Linked DNA regions of Tribolium castaneum. The protein of the gene in region 1 interacts with the protein of each later gene in a pairwise test. Links are inferred from orthologs where the notes say so. Each region holds a gene or a part of one and is shown in the gene's direction. Other genes may lie near its edges. The genes, in order: CCDC53 and heat shock factor-binding protein 1.

Region 1 (8,224 bases):
AATCGTTCAATGAGTTGATAAATCAAGTAGCCGAGCTTGACGAGATTTATTCCGAAACACAAGCTCGGCTCCTAAACGACGCTTTAAGCGATGTGGAAAAGCCCCAACTGGAGGACTTCCCCCAGAATGAGTCTTTTGATGACGGCAAGACCTACTCAAGTCTGCAACTAGCGTTCAAAAACCCGGTCGAAATCACCGAAACCGAACCAGAAATGGAGATAATTGACACAACAACGCGCAACAAGCGCGAAATCGAGGCCGAAAAGCCGCCACTTCCGCCAAAACGTTCGAAAAAGATCGAAACTTTCATCGGCAACTCGATGCAAAGCATTAACGAAATATCGAAACCAGTCGGAGTCACTCGTTCGCATTCGTTCAACTTGAATCGGCCCAAGTCACAAGAGGTGGCGCTGCCGGCGAAACTGCCCCCCACCCCCAGCTCCACGTTACCCAACCCCAAGAAAAAGGGGATTTTTTCGAAACTCTTCGGCCGGAAGAGTAAAACTCCGGGGACTTCCCGCGAGACTAGTTTAAGTCCCTCGGGGCTGTTGGGGCAAAGCGCCGGCAATATCTCCACGAGTTCGGCCACAAGTGTGCGAATTCCGCTGAAAGACAGCCCCCCAACTAGCGACTTGAATCTGAATTTAGACTTGACAGAGGCCGAACATTACGCTCTGTACACGGCAATGGCCCCACATGCCACCCAGAGCGAGTTTGACGAAATGTCCTGTTATTATGCACCGGTTGAAGGCGGGAAAATTTTAACGAATAGTGAAATGTTGGCGCGATTAACGTCAAAAACGTGATTTGTTTCTTGTTTTTTTTTTGTTTGATTGATTTATTTTGTGTTTTTTTATTTATCTGATGTGTTTTTAGAGCCGGGTATGCTTAAGCGAAAGAGGCAAAAGTATCATGACCCAAGCCAATTGTTAAGACATGTTGAGGAAAGTGACAAACAAAGTAAGTTTTTTTCCATTTTTTGGTGGTGGGTCATTTTGCTCAAAACTGATTGGCCGAATTCAGCCAATGAGATTGTTTTACTTTATTACGACGAAACTTGTTTATTGAAATGTTTTATTACTAGTCATAGTTATTTAGTCACTGTTATTTTATTGTTTATTACAATCACAACTCTCTGATGGACAGGGAACTATTTATACGTCAGTTTGGCAATTCAAATTTGACGTGCTAATGTCACAATGTTTATTATTTATGTTTCTGTTTTTTTTTTTGCTTTTTTTGTAAGTTAATTCTTCGAAAATCATTTGAAAAAGTTATTTTATCTAGAGCGGTCTTGCTTTTATGTCATAATCTGACATTAAAACTGTCACTGATGTGTCAAATTTCGCGTTACAGCCTACTCTAGGTATATTTTTAGCTCGTTAAAAGTGACACTGACAGTGCTCATGTCTTATATTTGAATTTTTTAACCTTTTTTTAAATTAAAAAGCCGCGATATGTCGCCTATTACGCCCAAAATCGAAATCCCCCATCCATCAATGGGGCTGTGATCGGAATTATTACACAAAGTTATACAATTTTAAGTGTGTTGATGTTCAATTGTTTGGAAAGTTTAAAGGTAGATTGTTAGTGTTTTCTAAAGGCTTTATATCTTTATATCAGCTGAAGTATTAAAGTTTTTTACAAGTAAACAGTCTTTCATTGCGTCATAAGCTGCAGCCAACTGTCACCGGAATTAAGGTACATGAATGTTTTGCATGATTTTTTCTTATAACTTGTTTTGTTTTATTAATTGGTTGAGCTTATGTTGGCTAACAATTGGTTTGTTTAGTAGTTTTGCGTGATTTTAAGTTAATTTGTGATTTGGCCAATTTATTAATGATTTTTTGTTAGGGACGCACCAACCCTTCCTACTCAACATTCCATCCGAAGGCATTAAAGTCGAGCCCAGAGGTAATTTAATTTTATATTTTTCCCCGCTTTAGTGTTTTTTTCTAGATAAGGCGCCTTCGCCGTACGGCGGGCAGATGTTCGAGGCGCCCATCCCGAACGTGTCGCCCCATTACGTGGCCCCCACGCCCCCGGAAGCCCCTCTGTTCCAGAACGTGCTTCCGCCAATCGGAGGCATGATGAACTGGAATATGCCTTCGACTTCAGTAGTCGGCGATATGTTAAACATGAATTGGAATCCTTCCGCCCAAAATGATCTCAGTGGTGTTAATTTAAGTGAAACGCCAAGTGGTATAAGCAGTTTATTAAATCTGGACAATCAACAATTGGAGTTGAAACCGATTGACTTAAACTCGGGTGATTTAAGCATGCTTGAGACAAATAACTTGTCAGAGACTTTCACCCAAAATCTATCGCTTATGGACGAGAGTGAGGGGCGCCAGGAGCCGAATATGACTGATAGTTTAACGCGATTGGCCAATAGCGCGCTAGATAATATTTGCCAAGCTAGTGATATGTACAAGGGTGCTCCATGAAACCACCATTACTTAAGTCTAAGTAATGCAAAAGCGAGTTCAATATTTGACATTAAATATAACAGTACTGTGTACCGCCCTAAATTCAATGATAGTTTTCTTATAAAATTGTTAAGGTTTGTAGTTTAGTCTATATCAAGTTTATTTATACTGTGATTGTTTTTATATTTTACAAGATGCAATGTTATTTTATAAATCTGGCATAATAAATCTGTTTTATTGAGCGTGTTTGCGTTTGTTAATTGCATAAAAAGCGATCCTTTCGCCACAATCTAACCTCAAACGTCACTTTTGACAGCTGTCACTCAGGTTCTTTGTGTCCCTTTGGAGCCAATTAATTCAATAAACTTGTGCCGATGCCTTGATTCCCCCTAATTTTGAGTGTTTTTCACTCAGATAATGTAAATAATGCAAGTGAACGACCTTTCCTCAATTGATCCAAATGTGGATTACACGCAGGTAAGTCTTTGAAAAAAGCGACCCATTCGAGCAACAATCACGTCCAACTTCTCCACTTAGATTTTACCCATTCAACAAAAGCGCACGATTGCTTTTATCAATCATTTCGTAATGAATACGGTGTCGTTTTTAAACCATTTTGCACAGTCGTGTGAATCGCGTTTGATGGAATTCGAGTACAAACTGCAAGAAGTTGAGGCTTCTTTACTTATACTTGAGTCGCAAGTAAGTATTGAACAATGCTAGAATGCCTTAAGTTCCGATTATTTGGCGCAAAAGTGAGTCGGTTGTGTTAGTTAGGTTCAATTGCGCATTTAGAAGAAAACACTGCAAAGGACTCGCCTAAACAAAACGATTTAGATCTGCCTCCTGTTAAAGACGAGGAGACGCAAATTGAAAAAAATGTAGAGGTAGAGCCTGATGTTGCGTCAGACCCGCGATATCAACGCTTTTTCAAAATGTTGCAATTTGGGGTTCCCCCAGCTGCTGTCAAGCTGAAAATGCAAACAGAGGGACTTGACCCTTGCATATTGGAGTAAGTACTACTATCACTGGCGAATCAGCAACACGTCCGTTATTTTTTAGTTCCAAATCAACTGATACGCAAGACAGTTCCTCGGTTAATTAATTGTGTTAAAAAAACATTGTTAAAAGTATAAATAAAACACGTTATGAATTTTTACAAAATGTGTTTATTTAGTCAAACAATTAGAACTGAATCATTTGTCCCTTGCGCTTCTTGTCGCCACCCAATTCAAAGTGCTTGCAGCGTTTCAAGGGAATCTGTTTCCTATATTTACATTCAGTGCATTCCATCCTGAGCACGATTTTCTTGGTGGTTTTAGCCTAAAAACACACAATAGCCCCACACTCAAAGTAGGTAAAAAAATACCTTCTTCCTGAAGATGGGCTTGGTTTGTCCACCGAAACCTTGCTGCTTCCTGTCGTAACGTCTCCTACCTTGCGAAGCGTGACGTTCCTTGGACTTTTTGTATTGGGTGACTTTGTGCAACTTGTGCACCTTGCATTTCTTGCAGAAGGTGCGCCTCTGCTTCGGGACGTTAACCTAAAAACAATGACATAACCCCACAATTCATCAAACGTCCTCAAAACGCGAAAATAAACAGGAATGTGCCCTTCCAAGGACGCCAAATGCACGAATTCGCTAAATTTTCGGTAATTCAAAGGCCGATTATTGCGATTTTTTGAGATATTTGATTGAAAACCTGCTTACCATCTTGGGATTTTCTTTATTGCAAAAAAAAGAGAGAGATGCAACGTGTCACACTATGCGCATGCGTCGTTTACATTGGCGCGAATTTTGAATTGCTATATTGGATGAAAGATAGAAAAGTGTTTCGTTATAAGTTTATAGAGTTTTAATTCGTTTCACGTGGTCGCAAGGAAAAATAGAAGAAAAAGTTTTTAAGACGCATTTTTGCGGCCACAAGGGAAAGGCGTTTTAATTAGTGGGTAACAAGTCGTGCCGAATAGTTCCCTTTTAAATTGAGTCAATAATCGGCTGTTTTTCTGCATAATAATAAAATGAATGTGATTGTGGAGGGAAATTTTTTGAAGAGCGCCCCTGGCGGTGGCATACTCAAACCACGTTTTTAATCTCGGTCCGGTTCGTAAAACTCAATCCGTGCTCTCGGAACCCTCATGAGCAAACACCTTGCAATTAATTTCATAAAATCTGGCGCACGTTTTTTGGGTCCGAGACACCGAAAAAGCTTGGAATTTGTTGTCTTTTGGTTTTTGGCGGTTGGTGTGAATAAATAGTTTAGGGAGTCGAAAGCCGGTCACTCGTCCAAGTCCGGGGCCGATCGGTTTGAGCGGCGCCATCTTAATTTTTGAACAAAGCTAACGAGTAGCCGGTCAGTAGTGTTCAACGTTGGTGAACGTCACTTTTCGATAAAGCGTGAAACCCACACAGGAATATAAACAAAATGAGTTCGAAAGAAAATAACGAAGTTGCTGTCGAAAAAATCGACAACGACAAAAGTGCGCCCGACGCCAAATGCGAGTTAAAAGGCACGAAGCGAGCGGCGGAGGTGAGTTCGACTGTTTCTTTCGCATTTACGCTGCTTTGCGATAAGGTCACATGGCCGTTGGATGTTGTGGTCGGGATTTTCGCGTGGAAAACGCGCGGAAACGCCGTTTTCACGCGTTTTCCGCGGGATGGTTGCCATGTGAACGGGGCTTTTTCCCGGCGCGGAGGCGGCTTTGCGACAATACGATGCTAAATTTGTTGTTGCCATGGTGTTTTCGACTGTTTTTCATTATGGCATGCGGTGTAAACACGCTTGGAAAGCATCCCGCCATATACAATGGACCCCGGGTTGAGGCTAGCATCGCTTGCTCGATTCAATATGGCGAAATCAATAGCAACTTGGAGGCGTCCTCGTGCGAGGCTAGATGCCACACTAATATTTTAATAACATCGGATTCTAGAAAGATTTCCGCGTGCGAGTTGACGATTTCGTTGCAAATTTCACGATAACCCGGAGATTGACCACTTTGGTCCGGTTTTTCAATGCAAAGCGTCTCATAAAGCTCGCTGGAATCAACAGAGTTGGACATTTTTGATGCTACGCTAACGAGTGGCAAAGATTAAGATCCATCATGGATCAGAATTGTGAATGAAAAGAGCGTTTTTAGTTAGTTTGCTTGTTTATTTCCATTTTCTCGAGCAAGTCGTGGTAGCCATGCTTTCCGCGGCCCACTTGGCGATTTTCTGATCTGACGTATTTTATTTCTCGGAGAAATTTTCCCGCCATTGTCCTTGACGCATTTGAATTTATTTTTGTATTGTATTAAACTTTATTAATTGTTTTTCTTATCAAACGAGATTATCGAACGGTTTTGCAAAAATTCACCCGACATCAAATTGTTTACAAAAATTGCAAACTTTATTTTATTATAATTATCAAGAATTGTCATCTTTATTATATTTAACCTTGTGCCACAGTAGAAATATACTTTCGAGTTAGAAATTAATGTTTACCACTTTTCTAATTTCAATTTGAAAAAAATTATACAGTGAAACTTCAGTGACTCGGCTGTCGGCAAGAAAATTGAAAAAAAAAGTTTTAATAAGCAGTATATTTTTCAACAAAAAATTAATTTGACGGTAAATAAACAACTGTAAAATTTGAGGAGAAGTAACTTTTTATGAAAAAATTGTATAACTTCCTTATAAGATATCTCTCACATTCTTTTATAATTACTTAGGTCTTTTTCTATTTAGTTCGTGATTTCGAGAATAATTTATTTAGTTCTATTTTTACAACACTGTTTCATGCGAATTTTTGTTTATCACAGTTGCTCCAATGATTTCTTAACAATGTTGTAATCTATTTCTGTTGACTGTCCAAAATTTTTGTGTAAGTGTTATTCTTAAGTAAAAATATTTTTTTCTTTATTTATAAATACAAATATGTATTATTTCTTATGTCGTTTTAAGACAAACAACGAGTAAATGTTAAGGAAAAGTTTGTCTGTTCGAGTTATAAAATAAAAAATATTAGGATTTTGTTGCTTTCATACTACGGAAGTCAGTTATTTGAGTTATCGAAGAACGACTTATCAAAGTTCGACTGTATTACTTAAAGAAAAAAACTAATGACTGCTTTTTGTTTGCTGTTAAGAGACAACAGCGATAAAGCCTGAGTCTTCACAAAGAATATTAAAGTAAAATTACATACAAAACATCACACTTTAGTCATAAATGCACCTCCCAGCATTGTTATTTTTCAATACACGAGCACTTGTTGCATATTTTAACTCGTCTTTAGTTCGCATTTTCAAATGCAAGTGTGTCAAATTAAAAAAAAATACGATACGTGTTCTTACATTTATAAGTAAAGAAACGAGTATAATGTTGTTACCATAATTTATTTACTAAACTAACCTTATCTGAGACAGCGCGCTTGTTTACAGTGATGCTAGGTTGAAGAACCGAACAGAAAATTCATAAAACTACATTTTTAATTGTTGTCCATTACCGCTCGAATATGTTAGAGTAACAGTAAATTAAGTTTTAATTGGGTCGTTAATTCTGTGCGCAACACGATCTGATTCAAGATAACTGAAAATTTCAGTTTCATAATGTAATATCTAATTTAATTCAGACGTTGGCACAATATTAGTAATTTTTTTACGGCGAAAACAAATGATAACTCCACTAAAAAATGATTTCGCCACTCGCTGTGTTATCAGAAGCTTGTGTCGTAAGACAATGTTTGATTGTAGGAAAAAACGGAGGAGGTAAAAAAGGCGCGAAAAGAGGAGAACGGTGCGGGTTCCGAGGGCGAAGAGCTGGATGAAGAGGAGGAGGAGGGTGTTGAAGGAGAGGAAGACGACGATGAAGAAGAGCTCCCTGAAGGCGACGACGAGGAGCTGGAAGGCGATGGTATTTTCGGTGATAAAATTTTATAGTAGTTGTTAATGCGTGTTTTGTTTAGACGATGACGAGGAGGATGTAGAGGGTGAAGAAGGGGTAGACGAAGAGGAAGACGACGCATAATGGAGCAGGTGGTCGCGTAACCACTGTGCAACATGTGACGGACTTTTTCTCAGCGCAAAGTCTCGAGCTACTTTGTGGCCAAACTAATTTTTAATTAAGTTTTACAAAAAAAATCAGTAATTCAGTTTTAAATCAAGTGCGTTTCATGCTAGCCATACCTCGAACCGTTGTTATATGTCACTGTTAGTAGCGCCACCTAGAAGCAGGATCTTCTACATTCGGCCACAGGCTACCTCGCGACCTTTGCTTGAGCAAGAACTGTTCAGTGACCGTGTGTGAACTGCGTGTAATCCGCGGTACCTGACTCTTCTAACTTATTACTACGTATCCCTTCAATTTGTAAAAAAATTGTCCAATTTATGTAAAAATAGGTATAAATTTTAGATTAAGTTTGTCTCTGAATACAGTGTCTTTTTTTTATTGATTAATTAAATACTTGTACAAAAAATGTTTTTTGAAGATGTCGCTGAACCCGCCGCGGCTTTCGGTGCGAAAGCCTTCAAAAAATGTACTTCTATTTGGGAACGACCGTTATTGTGTAATGGTTGTACCAGTCTGTCGAGCGCAGAAGGGCAATAAGGTGTTAGGCTAACATAGAACTTAGCGAAATATGTTTTTAGATCCGTGTGTTTGACTATACATGTATGATTTTTTTATGAGAGTATTTAAAAATACGGTTTTAATAACGCGGTGCTAGTCGTCGCCTCTTGTACACTGCCAAATTCTCACTGTAAATTGCATGGATAACTCTGCCACTTTTGTCAAGTTACGAAGCCAATCCGTCACAATT
Region 2 (6,496 bases), on another chromosome or scaffold:
GTTAGAAATTAAAAAATTCTATATTTGGTCTCAAATAATTTTTTGGCACTGGGTTGAATGTATTTTCGTTGAGTCGTAACTTTCAATAAACTCTTTTTGCTAATTTTTTTTTTTCAATAAAAATCGCATATAAAAATTGTAGTCGTCGCCCGTGATTCAAAGATGTCTAAATTAAATTTCTAATTAATTTTTAAAATAAATTGGCGACATTGAATTATTTGTAACTCTTTGTAATCAATTGTAAATTTAATTGAAAGCATTAGCGTCGTTATAATTCGAATTATAATTAAGTAAATTAAATTCTTACATCCTCCTGTGACTTTAGTTTATCCAGTTTCTCCCACGTGACATACTTGAGCCCCCTTAACCTTGCCAGATCGAAATAACAGTTCGCATCTTCACAGTTGTACCTAAAACCCCTCAATTACACTAATTTCCACCCAACTCAAACGAATTACAATTCAAAAACAGCCGCCCAGTCCGGTAAAAACAATAAATGCGTCAAGCCAGCCCCATGTACCCCAATTAAAACATCGGAATTCCGCGTAATCTCTAACTGTTTCTTGAACGGAACGTCCTTATTGTAGACAACTTTTTGCACTTCATAGTCATGATTTTTCGCCAAGGCTTCAACAAGTTCGTCCTCGTTCAAAATCCTGCGATATTTCGTATCGCGGGCAAGAAGCGTAATTCTAATTTTCCTATTGTTCCGAGGGTGAAAGGGGATTTTGAGTCGGTGTAAAATATGTTGGGAGAAGGCTTGAAACAGGCCGCTGTTCTCACACCCGTAGATAATCGGGGTGTTGTAATACAGCCCGAAAATCATGCGAGGCAAAAGGGGGAACACCACGTTCTTAAAACACACGGTTTCGCCCCTAAAAGTCTTCAAATCCCAAACGGGATGATCGGTGAAAGCCTCCCAGGTGTCCCCGAACGCCGACCTGTACGTGTAAGTCTCCCAAATCAACACGTGAACATCGGTCGAGAAAGCGTCCCATTGGGTCGAATTCAAATGTATTGAAGCATAAAGATTGAGAAAATCGCAGAAATGGTGGTACATATTCACCGCTAAAAGCAAAACTTGCGTCAAAATCGGGCCCCAATTTTACGGCCACGTACTAGCGTCAATTTTCATAATAAACGTGGGTTTCTCTATCACTACATCGCAATCGCCTTCGACTATCGGCCTACGCGCAAGCCTAGCGAAGTACCTCATTTCGGGGGCCCAGCTCTGCAAGGGGCTCAAGTGGTCCGTCTGCTCCTCCAGTGCCGCTTGTTTAAAGTCGCAGTAGCCCCCAATTTGGCCGTCTTTTAAAACGTCCATTTTGTACCTGATTGGGTCCTCGCGCGTCCGCAAATCGGTGAAGTTGATCATGAGGTTGCGCCCCCGACAAAAGCGCAAATGTTCCGAACACTCGAGAGAACTATCGTCGGCGAAAAGGGGCTCACAGAGCAGTTTCATCTCGCGCAATTGTTGCTTAACAAAGCCGAAATCGGCTTGGGTGTAAAAAGTGTTAATTTGGTCGGACTTGGACTTGACCCAGCCTTTGTGGTCGCCTGGGCATCGGGGCGCTGAAAAGCGCTCCGATTCCAGACAGTTGTATTCGTAGCCCCAGCATTTGGGGCTGTTTAGAGAGGTTTTGTAAGGGCATTGTGGGTCTTTGTCGCACTTTTCCCTGATTTTGGGAAAGTTAGTGAAGTAATATGGTAAGTGAGAATCGGGGAGGTTAATACTGGAAAAGTTATCACAATACGTTACGGTGGCCGCGGTTAAAAATAACGTAAAAAATGCGAACATTGTGGAGTTTTTAACACTAAAATAAGCGAATTAGGCGAGGAAAACTCATTGGCACGGTTTTGAGGTTAGCTTTCGAAGGTTGAGGTTAATGGTCAGCGCTACCAACCAAGAAAAATTTTTTTTTGAATTTATTTCAACAAAAAAGTGGAATTGAACGGTAAAATACATTAAAAAATGAACGAAACTTTATTTATTTAAGGATAAGGCCTTGCTGCGTTTTGTAATAGGCATAAACGGGCGCTTTGCTACGTGTAGACCAGTGTTTTGTGTCTTTTTTGCTTAAAATATCGTCAGCACTTACGGCCACAGCTCGAAATTTAGCCTCGTTGTCGCTTTCGTCCTCCTCAACTTGCCTTTTTTTCACCTGTGGCGCAACGTCTCTTGTTTTTACACTTATGCAATGCACTGAATCACGAAGTAATTTGATCCCACTTTTCCGTCGTTTTGGTTTCACGTAATTTTCGTAGTTTTTCGTTTCGAGTCTTTCTTTTAACAATTTATCGAGGATTTGAGACAAATGCTTGGCGACGTAATTTTGGAATTCTGGGGATACACGGAACAGATTAAATTGCTCGTCCTCGTCCTTGCTACGGCGTAATGACTGTGGTTTCGTGTTCGGGGGTTCCTCCAATTTCGCTAATAATTTAAATTAAAATAGTGATGTAACCTCACTTTCAGCTTACGTTCGGTTTTGTTGTATAAGGCGTTATTTAACAGCTGGCTGTCGGCGGCTTCGCGTAATTTATCCAAGTCTTCGTCTTCGGAACTGTCTGAAGACATTATTTTAAAGTACAAATATGTAAATAATGGACACAAAAAAATGCAAAGATAAAAATATTTTTAGGGACTTTTTATATGTTTAGTTACTTTGGTTTTAATGGTAATGGCATAACCGTCCCACATTTACTTTTTTCGATTTTTTTAAATATTTTTTGAAAGAAAAATCATCGAGAAATCCAATATGAATAAACTCTGCCAATTTCTATTCTTTAAATTTTTAAAAGTATCTAATCCATTTCACCGGTTTTGATACTCTTTTTTCACTTTTTAAATTTCCTTGTGTTCGTTCAGCCCCGTTGGGGTGCATGTCCCCCTTGTTACCCCTGCGTGCATAATAAAAATCAACAGTCTACACACGCAAACTCAAAAAAATCAGTCAACATCCCCACCGCGCCTGGTACAAAGAGTGACGTTTTTCGATTAAACATTTTCCGTTTTATTTGAGCAAAATCTAGCATTTTCCTCAGTATGGTGGACGATAAAGTCGAAATGAACAACGACTGTGAATCCTTCACCGCCACAAACACCAACGACCCGAAAAATGTCCAAGAATTAACCCAATACGTAAGTTGTCATAACCTCACACGTCAAAATTTTACAATTCTATCAAAAAACAGGTTCAGGGGCTGTTGCAAACCATCCAAGACAAATTTCAAAACATGTCCGATCAAATTTTAACCAGAATAGATGAAATGGGCAACCGGATCGACGATTTGGAGAAAAATATCGGCGATCTGATGACTCAAGCGGGAGTTGAGGGGGCGGATAAGTAAAACTCGAGTACCACTGAATTGATAGTTGTTTAAGTCCTAAATTAATTAATGTACCATTGAACCGTTTTATTAATAAATTAGAACTAAGCATGCGAATGTTTCATTTGCGCGGCTTCCGCGGTCTGATGGGGGACGAGGGCTCCTCAGTGTCGGAAACATTCTCAGAGACGTTCGCACTGTCGCTGAGGCTGTCCTCAGTGTCGGAAATGCTCCGTTTCATGGAGTCGAGCGTTTCCTCACTTTTGGACGCTTTTCTGGGAATCCCCTCTGGTTTTTTGTTATTGGGGGTAAAAAGACCCTTGAGGGAACCCAGCGAATTGCTAGAGCGAAAAAGACTGCGCGAACCCACGTTGCGTGAACTGTCCGGGCGCCGCAGCGACTTTTTAAACTCCTGCAATTTTAAAAAACAAGAAATAAAATAAAAAACCCGAGTCAATTATTACCGCCTCCACCTTTCCACTAGTTTTTTGAAAGTCCTGTCCAACGTATTGGTTTATTTTTTTATTTAAGCGAGTTTACTTACCTGTAAGTCGGCCTCTTCGTCCATCGAATTCACAGCTTTGTAGGCATTGGTCAAGACCTCCAGAGCCCGGGCGTGGTACCCCATTTCTATCGCAACAAAGTCGAGCAAAATCGACTTAACATCGTGCAGTTTTTGTCTCTCAAACTCCGTGCTTTTTTCCTCCAAGTTACGCAAAGTCTTCGAAAACTCGGCACTCGCCTTTACTAACTCGGTCTCAGCTTGGATCTACAATTTCTCACTTATTACAAATTCTGAAATGATTTCCCTAACAATTTGTTGCCTATTCCTCGGATTGCGTTCTTTAATCCGATCCAGCTGTCTTTTCCTCGCAATTTCTTTCTCCCTAGCGTTGTAAATTTGCTTAACTTCGTCTTTGGCATGTTTACAAATGTCCTCATAGCGTGCAAACTCTTTAATCACTTTACTGTCCAAATTCTGGACTCTGAGGTCGCCGTAAGAACTCAAAAGCGAGATACAGTCGGCAAAATTCTCCAAAGCTAGGCTTAGAGATCGGTTTAGTTGTTCCGCTTCAGCGTGTTCGAGCGTGACTTTGGCAATTTCGTCCCCTTTGTCTCTCAGACGGGCCGCTTTCCGGGAATACTGCCCGAAAACGTGGCATAATTCACCGATTGTTCGCTCGACTGAGACAATACGGTCTTGGACGAATTTAGCCTCCTGTTCGCTAAATTCAATAAAGAAAAAATGAAAAAAAAGTCTCCCCGGCGGGGAATCGAACCCCGGTCTCCCGCGTGACAGGCGGGGATACTGACCACTATACTACCGAGGATTAATGAATAAATAACCTCCCAAGCCGATTTTCTTGTAAAATTGCAATCTCAATTTAAGATAAACGAGATAAAGTTATTTTGGTACGTTTGTTTAGTGTTTTTGATATCAAATTCAAGTACTTTGACTTCCGATTACTCAACTCGTCTCAGTCAAACTAATTGTGAACCAATTGACTGTCTTTGTCTAGCTGACTTAAGGAGAATTTAAACTGATTATTACGATAAATTGCGCTTCAAAACAAATTTGCACAAATATTTATCTTGAAAAATTGTAAAGTAATAAATATTTACCAATTATTCCGCGCCCGGAACGTGTTCAACATTATTGTTGAATTGTTTTTATTTGCGTTTCTAAGGGCAACCACTCACAAACAAACGGTTGTGCCAACATGGCTAAATAAAACGCCGTCATGGAATCATGCAACACATTTTTATTATAAAAATACGGAATACAATAATTCAATTAATAATAATTCTTTATAAAAATACTTATGCACATCAAAAAGAGAATTAATTATTGCTATTCGACAACAGCGAAAGAACTACCGGTACAAGCAAAAGCCGCCTTGACTTTTCTATTAGCGAAAATCTGCGTGGGCTTGCAGACGTCGGTTTTATCACCGGTTCCGCAGCTCCCGTGCTCATTCCACCCCCAAACGAACAATTTCCCATCTTTGGTAACGGCTAGATTATGTTCGGAGCCGACGCTCAACTGTGTGACGTCCTTAAGTCCGGGGATCTTCTCCGGCTTGTAGGTGACCTCCCTCTGGGCCCCCAACTGGCCGTAGCTGTTGCGCCCCCAGGTGAAGACCTCGCCCGACTTGGAGAGGGCCGCCGTGTGTGTCCAGCCCGCGTACACGGAGCCGAGATTGGCGTCATGGAGGATCTCCATCGGGACGAAACTGTTCGAGATGTTGGGGTCAATGCCCAACTGCCCGTACTTGTTCTCGCCCCAGCTGTACACGGTGCCGTCCTCCTTCAGGACCACGGTGTGGTGCTGGCCACTCGCTATGCTCACTATGTCCTCTAAGTCCGGAACTTTGGATATACTCAGGTAGTTGTTGTCATCAAAGTTATCGCCAAGGCCCAGCTGGCCCTTGCTGCCCGTGCCTGCGACTAGAAGACCACCGTCCTTGTTGAGCATCGCTGAGTGGCGCAGCCCGCAGCTGACCTGCACACACATTGCCCCCGTTTAGACTACCCTGTGAGGGTGACCAGACACAAAATTTTGCCCGGACAAAAATTGATTTTTACAGCAAAATAAATTTTGTAACTATTGTTACTATCAAATTTTGTTGATCACTTCGGCGCAAATTTAAGGAATAAAAACTGAAATTTCATATTTTTTCAACGTTATCAGGTTATTACTTAACATGTATTAAAATAAATTGTGGACCAAGTAGAGCAGCAAATCGTTCGCAAATACGAAATATGGTTTCATCTCTATTTCTTAAGATAGCCATTGAAAGTTATCAAATGAAAAAAGTCTTCTCCATATCTTTAGAGGACGATTATTGATATAAAAACAGGATTTGGACTTATCTGCAAATCGTGAAATTGTATTCGAGCAAATTCTAGCAGAGCTACCGTTAAAAAAGGGCCAATGGTATCTGTAGCATGCTGACGGTCATTTTTTAATTTTTTTGCAGAACAAAAACGTTTTTTTTTAAATAATGCGTAAAAGTCGGTCTTCGGCATTTACTGTTTTTTGCTGTAACGTCGTCAAGCTCTTGTAACTATTGACTTCTTTTTGAGAAAATCCTGCTCCAATAAAAGTCACCGTTTGGCGACTTTCGTACCAATGTATATGTTTCACTGTTTTCTTTCGTACTTT

Evidence for each region.
Region 2: the proteins of CCDC53 (region 1) and heat shock factor-binding protein 1 interact in a two-hybrid assay, tested with the Caenorhabditis elegans proteins (2 studies listed by BioGRID). The link is inferred for Tribolium castaneum from reciprocal best matches to the Caenorhabditis elegans genes ddl-1 and hsb-1.

The regions. Positions count from the first base shown.
Region 1 is NC_087402.1:708,423-716,646, reverse strand, and holds CCDC53 (WASH complex subunit 3), read left to right. Parts: upstream 1-2,724; 5' UTR 2,725-2,855; coding exon 2,856-2,906; intron 2,907-2,966; coding exon 2,967-3,131; intron 3,132-3,202; coding exon 3,203-3,441; intron 3,442-3,491; coding exon 3,492-3,534; 3' UTR 3,535-3,614; coding exon of another isoform or gene 3,615-3,752; 3' UTR 3,753-3,798; coding exon of another isoform or gene 3,799-3,972; 3' UTR 3,973-4,140; coding exon of another isoform or gene 4,141-4,143; 3' UTR 4,144-4,855; coding exon of another isoform or gene 4,856-4,960; 3' UTR 4,961-4,961; downstream 4,962-8,224. Other genes in the region: RpL36A (large ribosomal subunit protein eL42), read right to left, coding at 3,615-3,752, 3,799-3,972, 4,141-4,143; acidic leucine-rich nuclear phosphoprotein 32 family member B, read left to right, coding at 4,856-4,960, 7,161-7,320, 7,373-7,434. UniProt on the Caenorhabditis elegans protein: Acts as a component of the WASH core complex that functions as a nucleation-promoting factor (NPF) at the surface of endosomes, where it recruits and activates the Arp2/3 complex to induce actin polymerization, playing a key role in the fission of tubules that serve as transport intermediates during endosome sorting.
Region 2 is NC_087398.1:4,659,421-4,665,916, reverse strand, and holds heat shock factor-binding protein 1, read left to right. Parts: upstream 1-2,928; 5' UTR 2,929-3,046; coding exon 3,047-3,142; intron 3,143-3,195; coding exon 3,196-3,351; 3' UTR 3,352-3,441; downstream 3,442-6,496. Other genes in the region: Eogt (EGF domain-specific O-linked N-acetylglucosamine transferase), read right to left, coding at 308-410, 459-1,068, 1,120-1,798; Fam92 (CBY1-interacting BAR domain-containing protein 1), read right to left, coding at 3,452-3,742, 3,795-3,827, 3,875-4,099, 4,145-4,556, 4,954-4,985; uncharacterized protein LOC655683, read right to left, coding at 5,183-5,833.